Arabidopsis thaliana: one gene and its partner. The protein of the gene in region 1 interacts with the protein of each later gene in a pairwise test. Each region holds a gene or a part of one and is shown on either strand. Other genes may lie near its edges.

What was found.
Region 2: the proteins of IRX3 (region 1) and AN interact in a two-hybrid assay, tested with the Arabidopsis thaliana proteins (one large-scale study listed by BioGRID).

The regions. Positions count from the first base shown.
Region 1 is NC_003076.8:5,735,972-5,743,497, reverse strand, and holds IRX3 (Cellulose synthase family protein), read left to right. Parts: upstream 1-1,997; 5' UTR 1,998-2,090; coding exon 2,091-2,165; intron 2,166-2,567; coding exon 2,568-2,763; intron 2,764-2,892; coding exon 2,893-3,171; intron 3,172-3,425; coding exon 3,426-3,519; intron 3,520-3,613; coding exon 3,614-3,880; intron 3,881-3,961; coding exon 3,962-4,307; intron 4,308-4,394; coding exon 4,395-4,658; intron 4,659-4,735; coding exon 4,736-4,948; intron 4,949-5,027; coding exon 5,028-5,241; intron 5,242-5,336; coding exon 5,337-5,533; intron 5,534-5,623; coding exon 5,624-5,977; intron 5,978-6,057; coding exon 6,058-6,639; 3' UTR 6,640-6,868; downstream 6,869-7,526. Other genes in the region: BBM (Integrase-type DNA-binding superfamily protein), read left to right, coding at 73-149, 232-956; AT5G17410 (Spc97 / Spc98 family of spindle pole body (SBP) component), read right to left, coding at 7,083-7,206, 7,336-7,475.
Region 2 is NC_003070.9:185,305-191,250, reverse strand, and holds AN (NAD(P)-binding Rossmann-fold superfamily protein), read right to left. Parts: upstream 4,107-5,946; 5' UTR 4,017-4,106; coding exon 3,429-4,016; intron 3,241-3,428; coding exon 3,075-3,240; intron 2,968-3,074; coding exon 2,837-2,967; intron 2,723-2,836; coding exon 1,931-2,722; intron 1,835-1,930; coding exon 1,787-1,834; intron 1,690-1,786; coding exon 1,576-1,689; intron 1,487-1,575; coding exon 1,415-1,486; 3' UTR 779-1,414; downstream 1-778. Other genes in the region: ASG4 (Homeodomain-like superfamily protein), read right to left, coding at 1-113, 253-310, 423-655; AT1G01500 (Erythronate-4-phosphate dehydrogenase family protein), read right to left, coding at 4,678-4,911, 5,242-5,946. UniProt on the Arabidopsis thaliana protein: Involved in controlling the equilibrium between tubular and stacked structures in the Golgi complex. Required for cortical microtubules (MTs) arrangement that confers cell shape.

The DNA of each region.
Region 1 (7,526 bases):
TATACATAATAATTGTCATACAATACTATTAATCTAATCTAATTAATATTTCCTTTAAAATGGTTCCAAAAGGCATCACCAACATGGAAGGTGGCAAGCTAGGATCGGAAGAGTCGCCGGTAACAAAGACCTCTACTTGGGAACTTTCGGTACATTTTCCAATAAAATCTATATACTATAAGATATTAAATATACACAAATATATCTAAGTGAATCATACAAATTATGTAGGCACACAGGAAGAGGCTGCTGAGGCTTATGACATTGCAGCCATTAAATTCAGAGGATTAAGCGCAGTGACTAACTTCGACATGAACAGATACAATGTTAAAGCAATCCTCGAGAGCCCGAGTCTACCTATTGGTAGTTCTGCGAAACGTCTCAAGGACGTTAATAATCCGGTTCCAGCTATGATGATTAGTAATAACGTTTCAGAGAGTGCAAATAATGTTAGCGGTTGGCAAAACACTGCGTTTCAGCATCATCAGGGAATGGATTTGAGCTTATTGCAGCAACAGCAGGAGAGGTACGTTGGTTATTACAATGGAGGAAACTTGTCTACCGAGAGTACTAGGGTTTGTTTCAAACAAGAGGAGGAACAACAACACTTCTTGAGAAACTCGCCGAGTCACATGACTAATGTTGATCATCATAGCTCGACCTCTGATGATTCTGTTACCGTTTGTGGAAATGTTGTTAGTTATGGTGGTTATCAAGGATTCGCAATCCCTGTTGGAACATCGGTTAATTACGATCCCTTTACTGCTGCTGAGATTGCTTACAACGCAAGAAATCATTATTACTATGCTCAGCATCAGCAACAACAGCAGATTCAGCAGTCGCCGGGAGGAGATTTTCCGGTGGCGATTTCGAATAACCATAGCTCTAACATGTACTTTCACGGGGAAGGTGGTGGAGAAGGGGCTCCAACGTTTTCAGTTTGGAACGACACTTAGAAAAATAAGTAAAAGATCTTTTAGTTGTTTGCTTTGTATGTTGCGAACAGTTTGATTCTGTTTTTCTTTTTCCTTTTTTTGGGTAATTTTCTTATAACTTTTTTCATAGTTTCGATTATTTGGATAAAATTTTCAGATTGAGGATCATTTTATTTATTTATTAGTGTAGTCTAATTTAGTTGTATAACTATAAAATTGTTGTTTGTTTCCGAATCATAAGTTTTTTTTTTTTTTGGTTTTGTATTGATAGGTGCAAGAGACTCAAAATTCTGGTTTCGATGTTAACAGAATTCAAGTAGCTGCCCACTTGATTCGATTTGTTTTGTATTTGGAAACAACCATGGCTGGTCAAGGCCCAGCCCGTTGTGCTTCTGAACCTGCCTAGTCCCATGGACTAGATCTTTATCCGCAGACTCCAAAAGAAAAAGGATTGGCGCAGAGGAATTGTCATGGAAACAGAATGAACAAGAAAGGGTGAAGAAGATCAAAGGCATATATGATCTTTACATTCTCTTTAGCTTATGTATGCAGAAAATTCACCTAATTAAGGACAGGGAACGTAACTTGGCTTGCACTCCTCTCACCAAACCTTACCCCCTAACTAATTTTAATTCAAAATTACTAGTATTTTGGCCGATCACTTTATATAATAAGATACCAGATTTATTATATTTACGAATTATCAGCATGCATATACTGTATATAGTTTTTTTTTTGTTAAAGGGTAAAATAATAGGATCCTTTTGAATAAAATGAACATATATAATTAGTATAATGAAAACAGAAGGAAATGAGATTAGGACAGTAAGTAAAATGAGAGAGACCTGCAAAGGATAAAAAAGAGAAGCTTAAGGAAACCGCGACGATGAAAGAAAGACATGTCATCAGCTGATGGATGTGAGTGATGAGTTTGTTGCAGTTGTGTAGAAATTTTTACTAAAACAGTTGTTTTTACAAAAAAGAAATAATATAAAACGAAAGCTTAGCTTGAAGGCAATGGAGACTCTACAACAAACTATGTACCATACAGAGAGAGAAACTAAAAGCTTTTCACACATAAAAACCAAACTTATTCGTCTCTCATTGATCACCGTTTTGTTCTCTCAAGATCGCTGCTAATCTCCGGCCGTCCCTATGGAAGCTAGCGCCGGTCTTGTCGCCGGTTCTCATAACCGTAATGAACTAGTCGTCATTCACAACCATGAAGAGGTTTTTCACATTTACTTTTTCTCATCACTTACCAAAGTTTTTTTTTACCAACGCTAGTAAAATATTATTGCATTTTTTCGTTTTATTTGGTTACTATTTTTTAAAAATTCGTATGTTTTGGGAATAAAAATATGATCATTTTTTAAAATCATCTTCTTATTATGAGACAAAAATTTATAATCTGTATTCTGTAGTTGCAATAATGTTGTAGAAAATTCATATCTTTGTTAGCAAACATAATAATTTTGTTGGTAATATTAAGTTGAGAAGTCAGGTTTAACCATTTTAATCGCTGTCATTTTTTTTATTATCTTTACTTCATTAGAATCTTTTTTTGTTGATTAGAAATTTCAGGTTTTATTTCGTCTTTAAGGAACTTAAACTTTTGTGTAATTATAACAGCCAAAGCCTCTGAAGAATCTAGATGGACAATTCTGTGAGATATGTGGAGATCAGATTGGTTTAACAGTAGAAGGAGACCTCTTCGTAGCTTGCAATGAGTGTGGTTTTCCGGCGTGTAGACCTTGCTATGAGTACGAGAGAAGAGAAGGAACACAAAACTGTCCTCAGTGTAAGACTCGTTACAAGCGTCTCAGAGGTAAGTTATTTATTAATCTCCCTCTGCTCTTGTGTTGTTCGACGAAATGCCTCTATGAAAATTTAAAAAGGCTGTTCCTTTTTTTAGTTTGAACTTGGAGAGTAATGATCTGTTTTTTGGTTTCTGAAGGAAGCCCAAGAGTGGAGGGAGATGAAGACGAAGAAGATATTGATGATATTGAGTATGAATTTAATATCGAACATGAACAAGATAAGCATAAGCATTCTGCTGAGGCTATGCTTTATGGGAAAATGAGCTATGGAAGAGGTCCTGAGGATGATGAGAATGGGAGATTCCCACCTGTTATAGCTGGTGGTCATAGTGGAGAATTTCCAGTTGGAGGAGGTTATGGTAATGGAGAACATGGGCTTCATAAGCGTGTGCACCCATATCCATCATCTGAAGCTGGTGAGTCTCATGGAAATGTTAACTTACATATAGATTTAAGAATGTCTCACAGTGATGATTAGTTAGGGTCATGCATATCTCCATATGTGCAAATAACATAAGTATGAGGCCTTCCAGCTTAATAGTAGATAGGGACATAGTTTCATAAACATGGACTTTGGGTTCTATTACATTCTTTCTATGAAATTCATCAGCAGACCCTTTTTCTAACAATACTTTCCTTTTTGTTTATGTGTGTAATTTTAATGTGGTAGGGAGTGAGGGAGGATGGCGGGAAAGAATGGATGACTGGAAGCTCCAGCATGGAAATCTTGGGCCAGAACCAGATGATGATCCTGAGATGGGACTGTAATGCCTCCACAAACATTTATCTAAGACATCAGTTTTGTATGATTTGGATTCATGCTTACAAAATTTTGGATTTGACTGGAAATGGCTGTAGGATCGACGAGGCACGGCAGCCACTCTCGCGGAAAGTTCCCATTGCCTCAAGCAAGATCAATCCATATCGGATGGTCATCGTCGCTAGGCTTGTGATTCTAGCAGTTTTTCTGCGGTATAGGCTCTTGAATCCAGTGCATGATGCTCTGGGATTATGGCTGACCTCTGTGATCTGTGAAATCTGGTTCGCTGTCTCTTGGATTCTTGATCAGTTCCCCAAGTGGTTCCCTATTGAACGTGAGACCTATCTAGATCGGCTTTCCCTCAGGTAAAATCCACAGATTCTCAAGTAGAAGTCTTAAAATCTATGACGTTGGAGTTTGGATGTAAATATTTTTTGTTTATACAGGTACGAGAGAGAAGGTGAACCAAATATGCTTGCCCCTGTAGATGTCTTTGTCAGTACGGTGGACCCATTGAAGGAGCCTCCCCTCGTCACATCCAACACTGTGCTGTCAATCTTGGCCATGGACTACCCAGTTGAGAAAATCTCCTGCTATGTCTCTGACGACGGTGCTTCAATGCTTACATTCGAATCTCTCTCGGAAACTGCTGAGTTTGCAAGAAAATGGGTTCCCTTCTGTAAGAAATTCTCCATAGAGCCACGGGCACCGGAGATGTACTTCACGTTGAAAGTTGATTATCTCCAGGACAAAGTCCACCCAACATTTGTTAAGGAACGTCGAGCCATGAAGGTCAGTGTATATCACCTGATCTAGTTATACCACCACCCATCTTTTCACTATAATCTAAACTTCATAAGTGAAATTGACATATGACAGAGAGAATATGAGGAGTTCAAGGTCAGGATCAACGCTCAAGTGGCGAAGGCCTCAAAGGTTCCTCTAGAAGGTTGGATCATGCAAGATGGAACACCGTGGCCAGGGAACAACACCAAGGACCACCCCGGTATGATCCAAGTCTTCCTCGGCCACAGCGGAGGATTTGATGTCGAAGGGCATGAGCTTCCTCGGCTTGTGTACGTGTCCCGTGAGAAGCGTCCTGGTTTTCAACACCACAAGAAAGCTGGCGCCATGAATGCCCTGGTAATTTTCTTGATCTGCCTTGGACCAAACAAGAAACTGATCTCCGTGTCTTGGACCTAACCTGATACTTCTGTCAGGTTCGAGTGGCAGGCGTACTCACAAATGCTCCTTTCATGCTGAACTTGGACTGTGATCACTATGTAAACAACAGCAAGGCCGTGAGGGAAGCAATGTGTTTTTTGATGGATCCTCAGATTGGAAAGAAGGTCTGCTATGTTCAGTTCCCTCAAAGGTTTGATGGCATTGACACAAACGATCGTTACGCCAACAGAAACACAGTCTTCTTTGATGTAAGACTCAATTCATATTTTTCCAACTTCTGGTCTAAATGAAAATGTACCCTCTTGCTTACACTCTTGTTTGCTACAGATCAATATGAAAGGTCTAGATGGAATCCAAGGTCCAGTTTACGTTGGTACTGGTTGTGTTTTCAAACGACAAGCTCTGTATGGTTATGAACCACCAAAGGGTCCTAAACGTCCAAAGATGATAAGCTGTGGTTGTTGTCCTTGCTTTGGGCGCCGGAGAAAGAATAAGAAATTTTCCAAGAATGACATGAATGGTGACGTAGCAGCCCTTGGAGGTAAATTATCCCAACAACCTTATAATATCAGTCCATTCTTGCAGTAGATTTCGTTTATGTTGGAATCTTGCGGATCTGATAGTGTTTTTTGGCAGGAGCAGAAGGTGATAAGGAGCATTTGATGTCTGAAATGAACTTTGAGAAAACATTTGGGCAATCATCCATCTTTGTAACCTCAACTTTGATGGAAGAAGGTGGTGTTCCTCCGTCATCAAGTCCTGCAGTGCTCCTTAAAGAGGCAATCCATGTCATAAGCTGCGGTTATGAAGACAAGACTGAGTGGGGAACTGAGGTAATAATACTGAATCGTAGAAATCACCTTCTTATTTGTGATTTAGTAGCTGGCCATTGTAAAAAACGTTTGTGTATCTCGAAATTGCAGCTGGGTTGGATCTATGGCTCTATCACAGAGGATATTTTGACGGGATTCAAGATGCATTGCCGTGGATGGAGGTCTATTTACTGCATGCCTAAGAGGCCTGCATTCAAAGGTTCAGCTCCTATTAATCTATCAGACAGGTTAAACCAGGTTTTGCGTTGGGCACTTGGATCGGTTGAGATATTTTTCAGCCGGCACAGTCCTCTCTGGTATGGCTACAAAGGAGGCAAACTCAAGTGGCTTGAGCGTTTTGCTTATGCCAACACAACAATCTACCCCTTCACATCTATACCACTTCTTGCCTACTGTATCCTTCCAGCCATCTGTCTCCTTACTGACAAATTCATCATGCCACCGGTTAGTAAAATTATCAGAGAAAAGCACTTAGAAGCTGCATCAAATGTGCTAACTATCTGTTTTCCCAATTTTTCTTTCAGATAAGCACATTTGCTAGTCTCTTCTTCATCTCACTGTTTATGTCGATCATTGTAACGGGAATCTTGGAATTGAGATGGAGCGGAGTTAGCATTGAGGAATGGTGGAGAAACGAGCAATTCTGGGTCATTGGAGGAATCTCAGCTCATCTCTTTGCGGTTGTCCAAGGTCTCCTCAAAATCTTAGCAGGCATTGACACAAACTTCACCGTCACATCAAAGGCAACAGATGATGATGACTTTGGAGAACTTTACGCATTCAAATGGACAACACTGCTGATCCCTCCAACAACTGTCTTAATCATAAACATTGTTGGCGTTGTTGCAGGCATCTCAGATGCCATTAACAATGGATATCAGTCTTGGGGACCTCTATTTGGTAAACTCTTCTTCTCCTTTTGGGTCATTGTTCATCTCTACCCATTCCTCAAAGGTCTGATGGGTAGACAGAACAGAACACCAACCATTGTGGTGATTTGGTCAGTGTTATTGGCATCTATCTTCTCTTTGCTTTGGGTAAGAATTGATCCTTTTGTGCTCAAGACCAAAGGACCTGACACTTCCAAGTGTGGCATCAACTGCTGAAGCAAAATCTTTTTCGTCTTCTGAAACTTTTTCTGTACTTTGTCGAGAGTGTTTTCACTTCTCTCTTTGGATTGCATAATTGGATTTTGTTTATTGTATATTAGCCAGTAAAACAGATGGATCTGGGTTTATTGTGAGCGAGTAATGCATTGTAAGAAAATTTGAACAAAACTACTTTTTAGTTACACAGTAAAAGATTCACAGATACTTCCCTCAAGAGACATGTAGTTGCAGTGAAAACCCACAAATCTTGAATGCAAATTTTTAACAGAGAGCCTGAGACTTGTTCTTATATCGTGGAGTTCACAAACAAAATAAAGAAACGACAACAAAAGCCTAAACACACGCACACATCTCATAACAACTTCTCAAGCTGAATATCATTTGATAACATTAAAAAACAAATTGAATTGCCTGAGTTTGTTTAGTTAAAGTCTCACCTCTTATTCTTTCGAAACACCAAGGATCCACTGGGAGAGATGAGTCAAGTATGGCTCAGCCTGGGAGCCTTTGCTCAAGACTGGTCCTAAGCTCTGCAACTCCGAGTTGAACTCCCTTTCGAAATTGCTGGTAGAACACGTAACAGACATATTAGAACAATACCGTGATAATGAAGTTCAAAAATTCTAACAGCAACGGCTTTTGTAGAGATAGTGTAGCCATTAGTTTGAAAAACAATTCCTTGTTACTACTTACAATATGGACTCTGTAACGGTTGTGTCTCTTATCATTGTCTTCTGTGGATGAGACTGGCTATTGATGTCGATAGACGATGATATCAACCACTGTGTGGCTGCAGCATATTGCAGACACACTGATTTCAACTTCTCCATTTTCTGCACCATCAGTAAATATGAGTGTAAAATATTGATAAACATTACACTATT
Region 2 (5,946 bases), on another chromosome or scaffold:
GCTTTTTGTGGATATGGGTGATTGGCTTTCCTCTTTGGTCGAGGAGGTGGGAGATGTTCTTTAGTCCCATTCTTCTGAACTTTGAGAAAGTACTTCTGTGCGTGGCTTCGTATCTACAAAACCAATATTCTAGTTACTATCCAACATACATAGAACTTATATCTCCAATTCCACCCCAAAGAACAGAGTTCATAAAATTACTTATATGTAACTTCAGACAAAAGTATGGAATGCATATGTTTGATTGATTACCTGTATCACTGTTTTTGATCCAACAAAGGCCTTTATTTTCTTCCAATCCCGGTCAAATCTGCAATCAAATAGACATGATCATATCAGAAGAAGAAGAACAAATCTCAAAGATTCTATATATCATTAATCAGATAAATGAAGGCAGAGAAGTGAAATCCGTGTCAACATACAGATGAAGGGCTTCAAGGAACTTGTCGTGTTCTTGCTCCGTCCAGTTCTCTCTAGATTTGGTGATAGTGTAAGGCTTTCTAACCTTCTTTGTTGGATCCTCAAAAAACGACATCGTCCTATTGCTCCGTATGGAAACCGGTATCGTTGTTGCCGTGTGGGGAAGAGTATTGAAACCCGGTAGACTCATTTTCATAGGCAAACAATGAGCTTGGCTAGGGTTTACAGTCACCATAAAACTCGACAACACACACAAAGTTCCCTTTTGGTTTGAAACAGAGTTTGTGACTTGAGAGACTTGTGTGAGAGTGGTGGTGGTATAAGCGGGAGAGGGAGACAAGGTTAGAAGTGTAATCTCATTCGAAAAATGGATTTAAGCCGAACACGTGTAAGGAGCCGGTTGCTCTGGTTCAGAGCGTGGGACTAACAACTACAAGCCATGTGGACATTCTCCTAACACTCATGCCACGTACAAATTTAAATCCACGGCACATAAATTGCCACGTGGAATACGATCGTAAGCCAGCAATCTTATTTACGAGATAGCTGCCTAGCTGGGGCCTGGTTCGACTAAAAATGAAGGTTACTTTCTTTTGTAGTTTAGCTCAAATTTTAGTTATGTACGATGATGTGTTTTATGTACGATGATCTCTAAAACACAAACGCAGCATATACAAATACAATACACACACCTATTTCAAACTACTAACCAAACACACAATGCTTTCGAGTTCATCACGACCAGACCCAGAAAACAACAACAAACGTCCCTCTAAGACAAGCTCATCGGATGTTTCTGCAAACCGAGAATAAATAAAAAGAAACAATGATTACAGATATAAGTTGGTTGATACCAACTACACAACACACGACACAGTCTCGAAACACAAAAATTGGGTGTCTCTGTTTTTCGTCTGTGAATCCTAAGGATGTTAAAGTAACAAAAGTAATTAAAAGAGAGAAACTCACAAATGGAGAGACTCTGTTTTTCTTTTTAATCGATCCAACGTGTGATACCATCGTCTCCTACCATTGCCAATATCTCCACACGAACGTCCAACACCGCCTGCAACATTCATTACACAAATTATTTCTGTTTTCCAAGAAGTAGGGTTTTTCAATTTCGGGCCATTTTCTGTAAGGACAGAGACTTACAGAGGAATTCCTGCAGTTAACAAGCCGACATTCGTCCAGAGAACCTTCTAGACTCCAACTCTCCCACACGTCAAAACTATGGCTAGCAAACACAAACTCCATTCTTCTATTGATCTGCACACACACACACCCATGACACAACCACTTTTAGATTCCATAAGAGCAACATTGAGTTACCAATGGAAGTAACACTCTCTAATGTAAGAGCTACCTGCAGTAACTTCCCACCAGCAGCAAATGATCTCAGACCAACAGTGTCCTGGAAAACAAGTTCATGCACCAAAACCAATTTATAATGGTCTATCTGGCATTGTAAGCAAGATAAATGAAAAGTAAGAGAGAGAAAAAGGTTTACCTTGTTTCTGTATGCGATAATGAATTGTGCAGCAGGATCTCGTTTGGATACATTGGACAAAGTATCGAGGAACCAGCCACCGTTTTTCGTTCTTTGCCTGGAAACGTGGAGGCCCGAGAGGTCTTTCGCATACAAGGCTACTACATATCCATCTTTCAGTAGCTCACTTGACTTTCCAATGAACTTCTTACTTGACATTACAAGCTGATTTGGGGAAGACTCTTGCATTACTTCAAGAGGTGTTTTCCTACTTCTGGAATCTTCAGGAGAAGCACATCTAGAACTGGAACTTAATACTTCTTCTGTGTCACTCATAGCAATATCATCTCTTCGTGAAGTACTTTCTTCATTTAACCCTGAGGAACCATCCGTTTTTTGCATGTATTTTTGCTGTGAATGTCTCTTTTTGGCTTTCTTACCGGATCTGCTACGTCTTCCTTCAGGTTTTACGGCAGTATTTTGAGAAACGTGTTGCTGACCAGGGCTCAGAGATTCTTTTAACTCACTAGCCTCTCTACGTACGATCTCAGTGCTGGTGAGAGTACTTTCTCCCTGTTGCCTACTGGTGGATTCCACTATTGCTAATTTCTCGTGTTTGCTAGGTGATTGTTCTTCTTCTTCACTTGCTTCACTTTCCTCAACTTCCTCATCAGAAACAGTGTTACTTGGAATTACACCATCTAAGAAAAATGAATGCAAGATAGAGATAGCCTTCTCCCTTATCTCCATCCATACTTCCTCACTGTAATCTGCACTGCGAGGTAGAATTAACACATTTGGCATTTCCTTCACCTGCAATGAAAACAAGATATAATGGATGCAGGATAAACAACAGAAGAAGATGATGAAACAAGAGAATAGGCAGGCGCAAATGTGAAGTTTAGTCACTGGAAAAGAAAGTCATACCCATGCTTCCATCCATTGTGGACCTTCAGCACCGTCAAGGGCGCAGCCAGCTATAGTGCCATCAATTAGAAGTTGTTTCACAGCACAATCATCCAACAGCTGGCAGCTTCCAGTATTTACAAGAAAAGCCCCTAATACATAAAATCAACCAGAATTGAAGGGAATGCGAGAAAGCAGAAGTTCATCTTCAATTCACATTCATGGAGAATCAAATTTCATTTGACAAGAAAACTCATACCAGGTTTTATATGCTGCAAACACTCTGCATTGAGTATCTGAACCGTGTCATTTGTTAATGCACAATGTAGCGAAATGACATCACTTGCTGCTAGAAGATCATTCAATGTATCCATTCTTCGAGCAGCACGTGGGAATCTCGAGGGCCTGATTCGTTCTTCATCTCCCTGAACAGACGCAAACGCAACTATTGACAACAAATATAACATCCAAGGGAGAGGAACTTGAAAGAGAGCCATCATAGTAAGCAGTTTAGGAATGTAGTAGCTAAGAACTCAGCACTTTTTTTGGTCCCTAAAGAGTCAGTTTACACTAAGATATTAAAAGCTTAGCGAGACATTGCCAACAAACATACCTCTGGGACATCGAAGTAGAGCACACTCATCTTGAAAGCCAAGCTTCTACTAGCTAAATACCGAGCCGATACAGATCTGCCAACGATACCCAAAACCATACCACGGCACCGTCTCATTCCCCGGCAAAGAGGCTGAAGCGATCCGAGCCAACCAGACGCCGATAGAGCGTGTCGCGAGAGTAAATGCGTCCGTCGAAGGAGTCCAAGGATGAGCGCCATGACGGTATCCGCGATTTCCTCGGCTCGTGAAGTATCTACATGGACAAGTCGGAGACCTAGGTCGGCGGCGAGAGTCGAATCGACAGCGCGATCAGCAGAGCCAAGGCAGAGAATGAGCTGGTGAGGACGGAGTCGGCGTTGAGCTGCTCGTGGAAGATACGCGAGGGAATGGAGGAGAACGGCGGTGGCGGACTCGATCTTACCATCGGCGATGCGGCTGAGCGGGACGTATTCGACACCAGCAACGCCGGCGAGGGAGTCTTGCTCGAGCGCACAATCCTCTATACAGTTGAGTGTAACGACGTGAGGCGACGCCGGTGACGGCTGGTCGCGATGTGGCATTGTCGCAGACGAACGGATCTTGCTCATCTCCTCCTTCTTCTCGCTACTCTCGAGGAGTGAAATTTTGATTTTGGGAACATAATGATTTAGGGTTCAATGTTGTAAACTCTTACAAAATTAAGGGGCTAAATTTCATTTATAATAATTTTCAGGGCCCAAAATACAATTTAAACAAATTGACAATAATTTTTTAGTCCAATGCTCATGCTCCCCCGATAAGACGTCATCGGTTTGACATTTATGATAAACGACGCCGTCTTCCACTTGGCTTGTTGTAATAATTTAATTTACTAATTGCAAACAGATACTGAATACAGGTGAAACATGTACATTCCCTATTCCACATTATTTCCTGACCAGAAACCGAAAGACAAACTCCAGCGTTTGACAACAACAACAATAACACGAAATCTCTTTCTACACAAGAGCAACGACATAGACAGACTTGAGAAAAGAAAGAACAAAAGAACATGACTGGAGCAAGATGGGAACTCTCTTTTGTGCTACTAAAGTATATGAACAGAGCCGAATATATATATATATTCAAAAGGACACAAACAGGTGAAAACCAAAAGCTCTATACATCTATCTACCAAAATTCTATCTCTTTTATAACCCACTACGTTACCGACATTCTTAGTAGATCTCGAAATGTCTAAGTGGGTTTTTAGTTTATGGTAGGTGATGATCAGAGAAACCTCCTACGAAGGTTACTAGTTGTTGCTTGATACGAACGCATGAGTAATCCAACTCCAATGCCTACACCAAGACACATCCCAAGGCCTATCCCAACTCCGACTCTGACTCCTGCATTGAACCATGAGAGCTGACCATCCTCATCAACGTACATTCCTTCAGGGTAATATCTCTGTGCCATTTTCATATCTGAGTCATCGTATTCATCAACTTCTGATTCCATCATCTGCATAAACGAAACGACAAACAAGATAAAGCACCAAAAAAAGTGCAAAGAGAGTCTATTGACCTATATCCATATCTCAATTTCTGATCAGTCAACAATTCTACAATTTTCAAATTCAGCTGTAGAGTCAAAGAAAACATTCAAGCAGGAGCTAAATTCACCAGAAACTTGCGAGTGATCTTAATAACTAAATATCTGCTACAGCATTCATAACTCACAAAACTAGACGAAAGAAGCAACCTTTTCAAATCTCAATCCCAAGTTATTAAGAATCGTAACTTAAGGGCTTGGACAATCACCAAACAGAGAATTGTGAAATCAGAATCATACCTGTACTTTGCTTTGACGGGCCAATTCATCACCAATGGTACCAATGTCTTGCTCTTTGCCAACTTCCTCATCCTCAGGGATAGCGTCGAGTGTCACGTGCCTAGCCACCTTCCTCCTCGGACTCGCCTGAATCGTCTTGGTCAATATCACCGGGACACCACCACAACAACCAGCTATATAAACCTCGACGGACGGAGACGAGACTCCAAACTTTGGCTGGAAAAACACAGAGGCAGAAGGACCTGACACGTGTCCGTTTCCCATAGCAATGTAACAATCCATGCCCCATCCAGTCTTGGGATCACTCACAGTTCCATTGTTCCAAGCACCTTCGATTCTATCTAGGTTCCCACACAAGACCATATCCTCGTTATCATAAACCTCGAAATCAACGCATCCGGTAACGCGAACGGTCTCAGTGCTCACGTAAGTCACCTCCGACGATTCCCGGTCGACTCTGTCACGGCGGAGTTTAAGCGACGCCGTCTGCGACGAAGGAACGCGAACGCCGTTAACCTCAAGAGAAGCACCGGTTTCGCGACGAGGGTGACGGAGGGTGAGGAAGTCAGGGACGTTCTCAACGACGCAAGGAGCGATACGGACGTAGAACAAACGAACCTCCAGCCACGCCGATTGCGACAACGAAATTGATGATGCCGGAGACGGCGGCGATACGGTGGAGGTATTCATGTGGTACGATTTGGT